Schizosaccharomyces pombe: one gene and its partner. Changing the gene in region 1 together with any one later gene gives a genetic interaction. Each region holds a gene or a part of one and is shown in the gene's direction. Other genes may lie near its edges. The genes, in order: rpb6 and tfs1.

What was found.
Region 2: of rpb6 (region 1) and tfs1, extra expression of one rescues a mutant of the other (dosage rescue), as found in Schizosaccharomyces pombe (one study listed by BioGRID).

What each region holds. Positions count from the first base shown.
Region 1 is NC_003421.2:780,945-784,672, forward strand, and holds rpb6 (DNA-directed RNA polymerase subunit Rpb6), read left to right. Parts: upstream 1-2,092; 5' UTR 2,093-2,156; coding exon 2,157-2,431; intron 2,432-2,649; coding exon 2,650-2,803; 3' UTR 2,804-3,133; downstream 3,134-3,728. Other genes in the region: Tf2-12 (retrotransposable element/transposon Tf2-type), read right to left, coding at 1-1,190; mmt1 (mitochondrial iron ion transporter), read right to left, coding at 3,306-3,728. UniProt on the Schizosaccharomyces pombe protein: DNA-dependent RNA polymerases catalyze the transcription of DNA into RNA using the four ribonucleoside triphosphates as substrates.
Region 2 is NC_003424.3:2,114,413-2,118,576, reverse strand, and holds tfs1 (general transcription elongation factor TFIIS), read left to right. Parts: upstream 1-2,120; 5' UTR 2,121-2,195; coding exon 2,196-2,264; intron 2,265-2,321; coding exon 2,322-2,384; intron 2,385-2,559; coding exon 2,560-3,239; intron 3,240-3,302; coding exon 3,303-3,327; intron 3,328-3,376; coding exon 3,377-3,421; 3' UTR 3,422-3,664; downstream 3,665-4,164. Other genes in the region: ATP-dependent 3'-5'-directionality DNA helicase fml2, read right to left, coding at 1-1,708; protein dsc3, read right to left, coding at 3,814-4,164. UniProt on the Schizosaccharomyces pombe protein: Necessary for efficient RNA polymerase II transcription elongation past template-encoded arresting sites.

The sequences.
Region 1 (3,728 bases):
ATTGGCTTTGGTAGCTTTTCCGTATTGGTTTCTGCAGTAATGTCTTTGAATTCTTTATAGATATCTGGTAACTCAGGTTCCTTGACAATATTTGAAACTTTGTTCATTTGAGAGAGCGTGTGTTTACTGCTAGATATTTCAATGTTATTGTCATATAATGTTGTGAAGGAGATAGCAGCTGGATGCGAAAATTTCTTTACAACCAAGAATTCTGTTTTGATTGATATTCCATTTAGACTTATGTTAAGTTTTATTGTTTTGCGATTAATCTTATTTGGATAAACTCCACCATATATCACACTTTTTGACCAGGGTCTGGTAGGCAGTTTATGTGCTCGAACAGTTTCTTCTGTTATAATATTTGCTTGAGCGCCCGTATCGATTAGACAGGGTATTGAGCACTTGAAGTCTGGAAGTTCAGCTTGTAATACCATTTCGTAACGTTTCCTAGTATGATTTAGGAATTTGTTAGATGAGTATTCTATTCTCGAAACATTTGTCTTCCTCAGGTTTCTGCTATTAGTGGTGTTATTTTTCTTTGAAAGGGACTCTTTTCCTAGATTTTTATTTTGCGGTTGAAAACGCTTGTGAGTTTTACCATACGAGGCTGTTCTTTTGTCCTCTAAAAAGTCATAAATTTCACTGATTTCTGATTTCCAGTAATTTCTTTCCTTTAATTTCCTTAAGGAATATGGCAGCATCCATAATATAAACAAGCGAGTATGGAAATCATCAACATTTGCTTTTGACATGAGTTTCCTTATAAATTGAACTTTGTCCAATTGATTTCTAAAACCTTCAAATGTTTTAGTTAAACGATCACCTTTGTTGGATCCTTGTACTTTCCCTGTTTGTCTGAGTAATTCTTGCCATGTAAGACTTCCATTCTCAGAAAACATGCGTTCAGCGAATTGTTGCTCTAATTCTTCTAGGTGATTCAATGTATACTGTCTTTTAGTATGCTCATTTGGGAATAATGAAGGGTATTCAGTAAAGTGTTGATCAAGTTTTGAAATGTAACTTTCAACATCCTTATTTGGATCGAATTTCCCTATCTCTGGTACATGCTTCGATAATATTTTTGCAAAAAGGTTTATTAAATGTTCGTCTGATGTTTGAATTCCATCCAAATTCTCTGGTCTCCATCGTTTTGCTCTTGCTTTCATATAACGATAATTTGCGTAGGACATTGTATATGTTTCCCTTTGGGAGATTTCAAAAGGGATAACAGTCCTTCCAAAGTTCCTTCTCCTTTGAACCCAGAAGGAGAGAAATATATATATTTATGATATATATTTATTCAATAATTCCTTTTTCCTAAAAGGAGTTAATTGTAGATCACAAGAGTTCAGTTATTGTAAGCTACGCAGTTTGGTATCTGATTTAAGGATACGTAGAACTGCGGTGAGTTTTCCTTGTGATCTATTATATTACGATACACAGGTTGTATAAGTAGCAACTGAGTATAGGTATTGTATTAACTGGGTTATAATGTTACCTATCACTAATATAGCTCATAACTGAACTGAGGAACGAGGTTCAGCAGTAGCTCTATTTATAGTATTCAGATAATATTGATCTTAATAGATTATCATTAAGATCAATCTCCATATCGTATCATACATGGTACGATATATAATTAGAACATGTGACATATAGTGATACTCAACGTAGTGTATTATAGCGTAGTGTAGTATTGCTGACATTAAGTTCCTTTTAAGAGGGTTTACACGTTTGATGAACTCATTAACGATGCGTTGGGATGCGACAAGTTTAACCTGAGACGTGGTACAATAGCTAGTAGTTAATTTCTACAAAGTAGCAAAGGTAACAGACATGCTTATAGAGAGATGATAAAGTAATAGTAACAAATAGACTCTCAATCAGTCAATTTTATCAAATTAAATTATTGATTTAAAAAATAATTTGAATAATAAAAGAAAAAGTCTCTGAAATGTTTCAGTGGAGCGTGCGTTCGATCTTTCTATGAATTAAACATATAAGATGTAAATAGTGCATTGTAGTGTAAAGTAATGAGATTTAACACGGATTCACAATTCGAACGCTGACTAGGTGTATGAGAATTTCCTCTGTCAACTTCCAATTTTTTAGATTCGCCCTTGTCCCCCTTTTCTCCTTTGGCAATTGCATACAAAATGTCTGACTATGAAGAGGATGAGGCCTTTGGAATGGACGGTGCTGTTATGGAGGAGGAAGTCGATGAACTGGAGATGATCGATGAAAATGGGCAATCACAGCAAGGCGTCTCTCATCCTGGTGAACCTTCGACTACCGTTATTACTGAAGATGTTGCTAGCTCAAAAACAGCTCAATCTGGTAAAGCGGTAGCAAAGGAAGACCGAACCACTACTCCTTATATGACAAAGTATGAACGCGCTCGTATTTTGGGAACTCGAGCACTTCAAATTAGGTGAGTAGATGCGTGGATTTACAATAAAGCGTCGTACAAAGGCACTAGCGTAATTGCTTAAGTCCTGAATCGTTATGCTGTTTTGCAGTCATGGAGTTTAAAAAAAAACGATATAGTTAAAAATTTTTTTTTTATTTTCTAGTTAGGATTGTCTGATTATGATGAATTTTGTTTCTTTTCAATTGAGCTTTCTTTTAATTTCTAACTCTTTATTTTAGTATGAACGCACCTGTTTTAGTTGATTTGGAAGGTGAAACTGATCCTTTGCAAATTGCCATGAAGGAGCTTGCACAAAAAAAGATTCCTCTACTAGTCCGGCGATATTTACCCGATGGCAGTTATGAAGACTGGAGTGTAGCGGAGCTCATTTAATTTAAGAAGTGTTCCAATTTCAAATACGTTCTATCGCTCGTTCGATTCACCTCGTTCTTTTCCTAATTCTTTTGTTTTACGTGAGCGAAGCCGTTTGGCTATGGTAAAGAAAAGAAAATAAAAGCAAAAGGACTAAATTTTTAGCTCTATACCATTAATTTACGATTTAGAAATAGGGACGTATTTATCCTCGGGAGAAAAAAAAGGCTTGTGCTACTATTCTAGAAATCTTCTTTTCTTGTGTCAAAAAATTTTTTGGGGCATTTTAGCTCTCGTTCTTCAATGAATGCATTTAATAATAACTTTTTCCGATAGTTTTAGTAGCTGTGTAAATGTAAACTCATTGATCACGGAGTTTTTTGTACAACTGTTAATCTGAAAAAAATTCTAGAGCACAGAAAACTCAAAATTGCTTACTACACACCTATCATTCAGATATGTTCAAATGTTCTATTACTATCAGTTTCAAAGCATGGATTGCGAAATTTACAAGGTATAATATCTAATGAGTGTGCTCATGAGATGGATGCGAATGTTCACCAGAAGACCCATTTAAGTGTTGCCATCTATGAACCTGATTAGAGTCAGAGGAAAGTGGTGTCACGATACAACTGGAAAGGGCAGGGATAGCATCCAAAACAGTCTTTTCTACCTTTTGTGCCAATTCGGACGACTGTTGAGATGTGAAGGATGGAGGAACAGATATTATCACATGCATGGCATGTGCATTTCCTAATATAGTAACGATTTTATATGGAAGCTTTTCTCCCTTCAATAAAGCATCAGTTACTGCGATACGTAACTCTTCGGAAGGTGCTCGGTCCAAAAGCTGCAAGAAGGCCTTTTTAGAAGAGTTGAAGCCGGCACTAAAAACGACAATACTTACTAAACAACCAAAAAACGGATCTAGCCATGGAGCATTAAG
Region 2 (4,164 bases), on another chromosome or scaffold:
CCATTCTTTGAATCGTGCGTATCGGTGAAGATGAAGCATCATAGCAAATAATCATATCGGTATCACCAATGTCTAAACCCTCTTCGCCGATTGATGTAGCAACTAGCGTGTTTATAACACCTGCACGAAATTGATCGATAGTTTCTTTTTGTTGCATCTGATTCATGCCAGTTGAGTAAGCCGAGTTCGCCTGCCCAATAAATAAAGAAGCTCGAACCATAGGTCGAATTGCCAACAATGTCGTTGTGATATATTCAGCAGTGTTTCGAAATTCTGTGAAAATCATAACTCGTTGATTTTGATAGCCTTCAGAAGTATCTTTGAAATGTTCTTTCAAAAGTTCAAGAAGATGATTCATTTTAGGATGGTTTAATGACAAACCTTGAATTTTATTGTGAAGGTGTTCTAAATAAAAAGCAAACGGTTTACTAGTAAACAACCAAAAGCTTTGTCCACTCCCTTTTCCTTCAGCTTTATTTTTAGTTTCCACAAGCTTTTGATAAAATTGGATAATCCCATGACAATCTAACAGATACGTTATATGAGCACATGAAATCAATAGCGTAAAGCAACTCATGATTTTTGATTTTTCTTTAGATTGTACATTTTTTGAACTAAAGGAATACTTTCGTAAAGAAACGAAAAGCGTATAAGCTTTTATATTAAGGCATTCACAATTGATAGGTATAAGTTTTTTTTGACGGAGAAAATTAAAATATGGCCGGTATAGGTTAGCAAAGTCCGATTTTAAAATATTCATTTCAGAGGAGATCGTGACCTTAATCAACTGAATCTTTTTATGAAAAACATATGAGCGAATATCTATACTTTCTTCGTTGCGAACAATGAGTTTGGAGATATGGAGGCAATCTACTACCTTTTGAACAGAGGCGGTAGAAGATCCTGGAGTTGCGGTTAAACCAAGGACTCGAAAATGACTATTAGATCTAAGCACTGCCCTCATAACCTGAGCATACGAATGGTTGCCAGTAGCTCTATGAGCTTCATCAAATATCAGGCAAATAATACTTTTGGCATCCAGTAAATGTTCCTTTAAATCATTCTGGAGTGTTTGTGGAGTCATGAAAAATACTCGTTTCGTATTGTATTCGAAAAGTCGACGATCCGGTGATACTTCACCGTTCAATTCAGCGGTAGCACCTGGTGACATTCCCGCTACATTGGAACAAGCAACTCTTTGTTGCAACAGTAATGGTTTTGTGGGGGCAAGAAATATTATTTTGCTTTCAGGAAACCAACGAAAATAGTTTAACATGACCACTGCCGCAATAAATGTCTTTCCCAACCCAGTAGGTAGAGCCAGTAATAAATTGTGGAATAATGCTTGCTCACAAAATTCCTTTTGATAATTTCTATACTGCTGAGTCTGTGGAAAAATCCAGTTTTGCATTGCATCAATATTTTTTGGAATGTCAATATTGTTTTCTAACTCAGTTATAACTTGAGGTTGAGAAGAAGGAACCCTACAGCCTCGCAAGTCTAGTTGAAACGTAGTATTTTCAACGTCTTGATTATGTTTTATACATTTCAAATTTGGTTGCCTTAAAGCAGGATTAGAATTCAACAAAGATCCTTCAACATTACAAAGCACTGAGGTAGGAACATTTCCTCGTTCTCCGTTCACCTCGATACTTGGCAGGTCTACTTCAGAGTCGGAATAGTCACTTGAGTCTCTCAGTACAATCATGAAACTAAATTTATGAAAACGAACGAACACATAGACCAAAGTAAGTTTCAAAAATAAACTGAATATCAAACTTTTAAATTCTTGAACATCAAGTTTCTTCAATTTGATCAAACAACATTATAATCTTTGCTTTTCATAAACAAAGCTGATAAAACAATTAACAATTGAGTAAGATCAAGTCAGCGGAGGAGCATGAAAATTTAACGTTGTAAAATAAACACGAGTACTAATGCGATAAACAGAAAACAGTTTGCAAACTTGAAAAAAAAACTGTCAAACTCAAGAATTCAACTAACAAAATCACGTTACGGGGTGTTGATATTCACATCAGCAACTATGGTGGTGAAGAAAAATCACAACGGTATTAGTAGACATGTGAGATGTAAAGCGCGTTATCCAAAATAAATCCTCTACCACCATAAGATTATTAATTTTGCAATCTGCTAACCAACAGCAGTGTTTACAGTATTCGAACTTAATTTGAATCATGGACTCTGCTGATATCCGATCTGCGAAAGCAGCTTTGGAAAAAGCTATTCAGGGAAAGAATATAGAGGTTTGTAATTTGTGCTATTGGGACTTACAGATGGTTTTGAAGCTAATATCAAGCTAGACTATAATTAACATTATGACACGTTTAAAAAATGAAGTAGTTGCTACCGAAGAATTACTTAAGGTAGGTTTATTACATGCAATATGGTAGTATTCTCGCACGGATTGTTGACAATATATTACATGAATTTTGCAAATTTCACTTAATAGAAATAACATCTTTCTTAAAATACGAATTCCACAAGAGTACCAACATTTGATGGAGAATCGGTATTCAAAATACTAACCAATGATGCTAGGAAACCCGGCTGGGATTAGTCGTTGGCAAGCTCAGATCTCATCCCAATGAGAAAGTTGGTGAGCAAGCTCGGGAAATTGTAAAAAAATGGAAAGCCGATGTTAGTAAAGGTCGTCCATTGAAAACCACAACTACAACTTCCTCCACGCCTTCTAAACATGCGGATGTAGGTTCTCAAGCTCAAAAACAAGTTCAAAAACAAAGCAGCAGTGGTCAGCGTACTTTTAAATCTGATAATGTGAACGTCAATGTGACTGATGACAAGATTCGCAACAACTGTATTGGATTAATGTACAATGCATTAGTCATAGATTCGGATGAATCTTCTTCATTAATAATAGCCAAAGCCAAAGAAATTGATGCGCAAGTACTTGCTAGAGCAGCAGGTAAAACTGGTTCTGAATATCGAAACAGAATGCGGTCCTTGTATATGAATCTTAAAGATAAAAATAACCCGAAACTTAGAGCATCAGTATTACGAAATGAAATTACTCCGCAAAGACTCAGTACCATGACTTCTGCCGAATTGGCTTCAGAAGACCGTCGCAAGGAAGATGCCAAGCTAGAACAAGAAAATTTATTCCATGCGCAAGGTGCTAAACCCCAAAAAGCTGTTACAGACCTTTTTACTTGTGGGAAGTGTAAGCAAAAAAAAGTTTCTTATTACCAAATGCAAACAAGGTATGTTATTTGTCATGATTTTAGTACTTTTTATCGCGTAAAATTTATTAACAATCCGTATAGATCTGCTGATGAGCCTATGACAACGGTAAGCATTAGTCTATTTGGGTAGAATATTTGGACTAATTTTTTTTTAGTTTTGTGAATGTACTGTTTGCGGAAATCGCTGGAAATTTTCTTAAATCTTGGGTCAGCCCATTTAGATACCGGTTGTAAAATAATCCTTCATATTTCTTCTTCTTTTTATTGTTTTAGAAGCACTCTCCTCTATTGTGTGTGTTTTTTTTTGTTTTAGGATCTGATTGGTATCTTTCATTCTAGCGATGAATATATGCATATTTTACTTTTGCACACTCAATACGACACTTTTACAGTTATCCTACTTTACACTTCTTAATAAATCCAAATGGTGTTTTAAACGTACATTTAATAAGTTAACGCTTGATCAAAGCGAATAGATCATAAAATTCGACATTATTAATCCTCAATTAAACTGTAGTCATAATTAACAAGTGCAACGAAAAGTGGAACGATTAATTGTATTGGACAAAAATTTTAACAAAAATGAACGGGTTTACCATCGATACGAGTGTAATAAGCCGTATGCAAAATTGCAAATAATTCCGACAAGAATGGATAATTGCATTCTCAGAGAGAACATTGTCCTTTCCCAAAGAAAATAACAAGCAATAGCTCCTCCAAAAAAGCCTATTAATACTCCAGCCAACAAGGTTTCATATGACATGTCAAGTTCGTCGGCAGAAGAGTTTTGTCCTCCATTGTCAATCCAATCGTCTTCTGCCTCTCTGATAGCGTCTTCCGTGAGTGAATCCAAATTAGTTCCTCGTAAGCGATGAAATTGGCTACGCAAATTATTGACCTCGGTTTCTGTAAAACCAGCTTCACGTAAACGATCAAAACCACG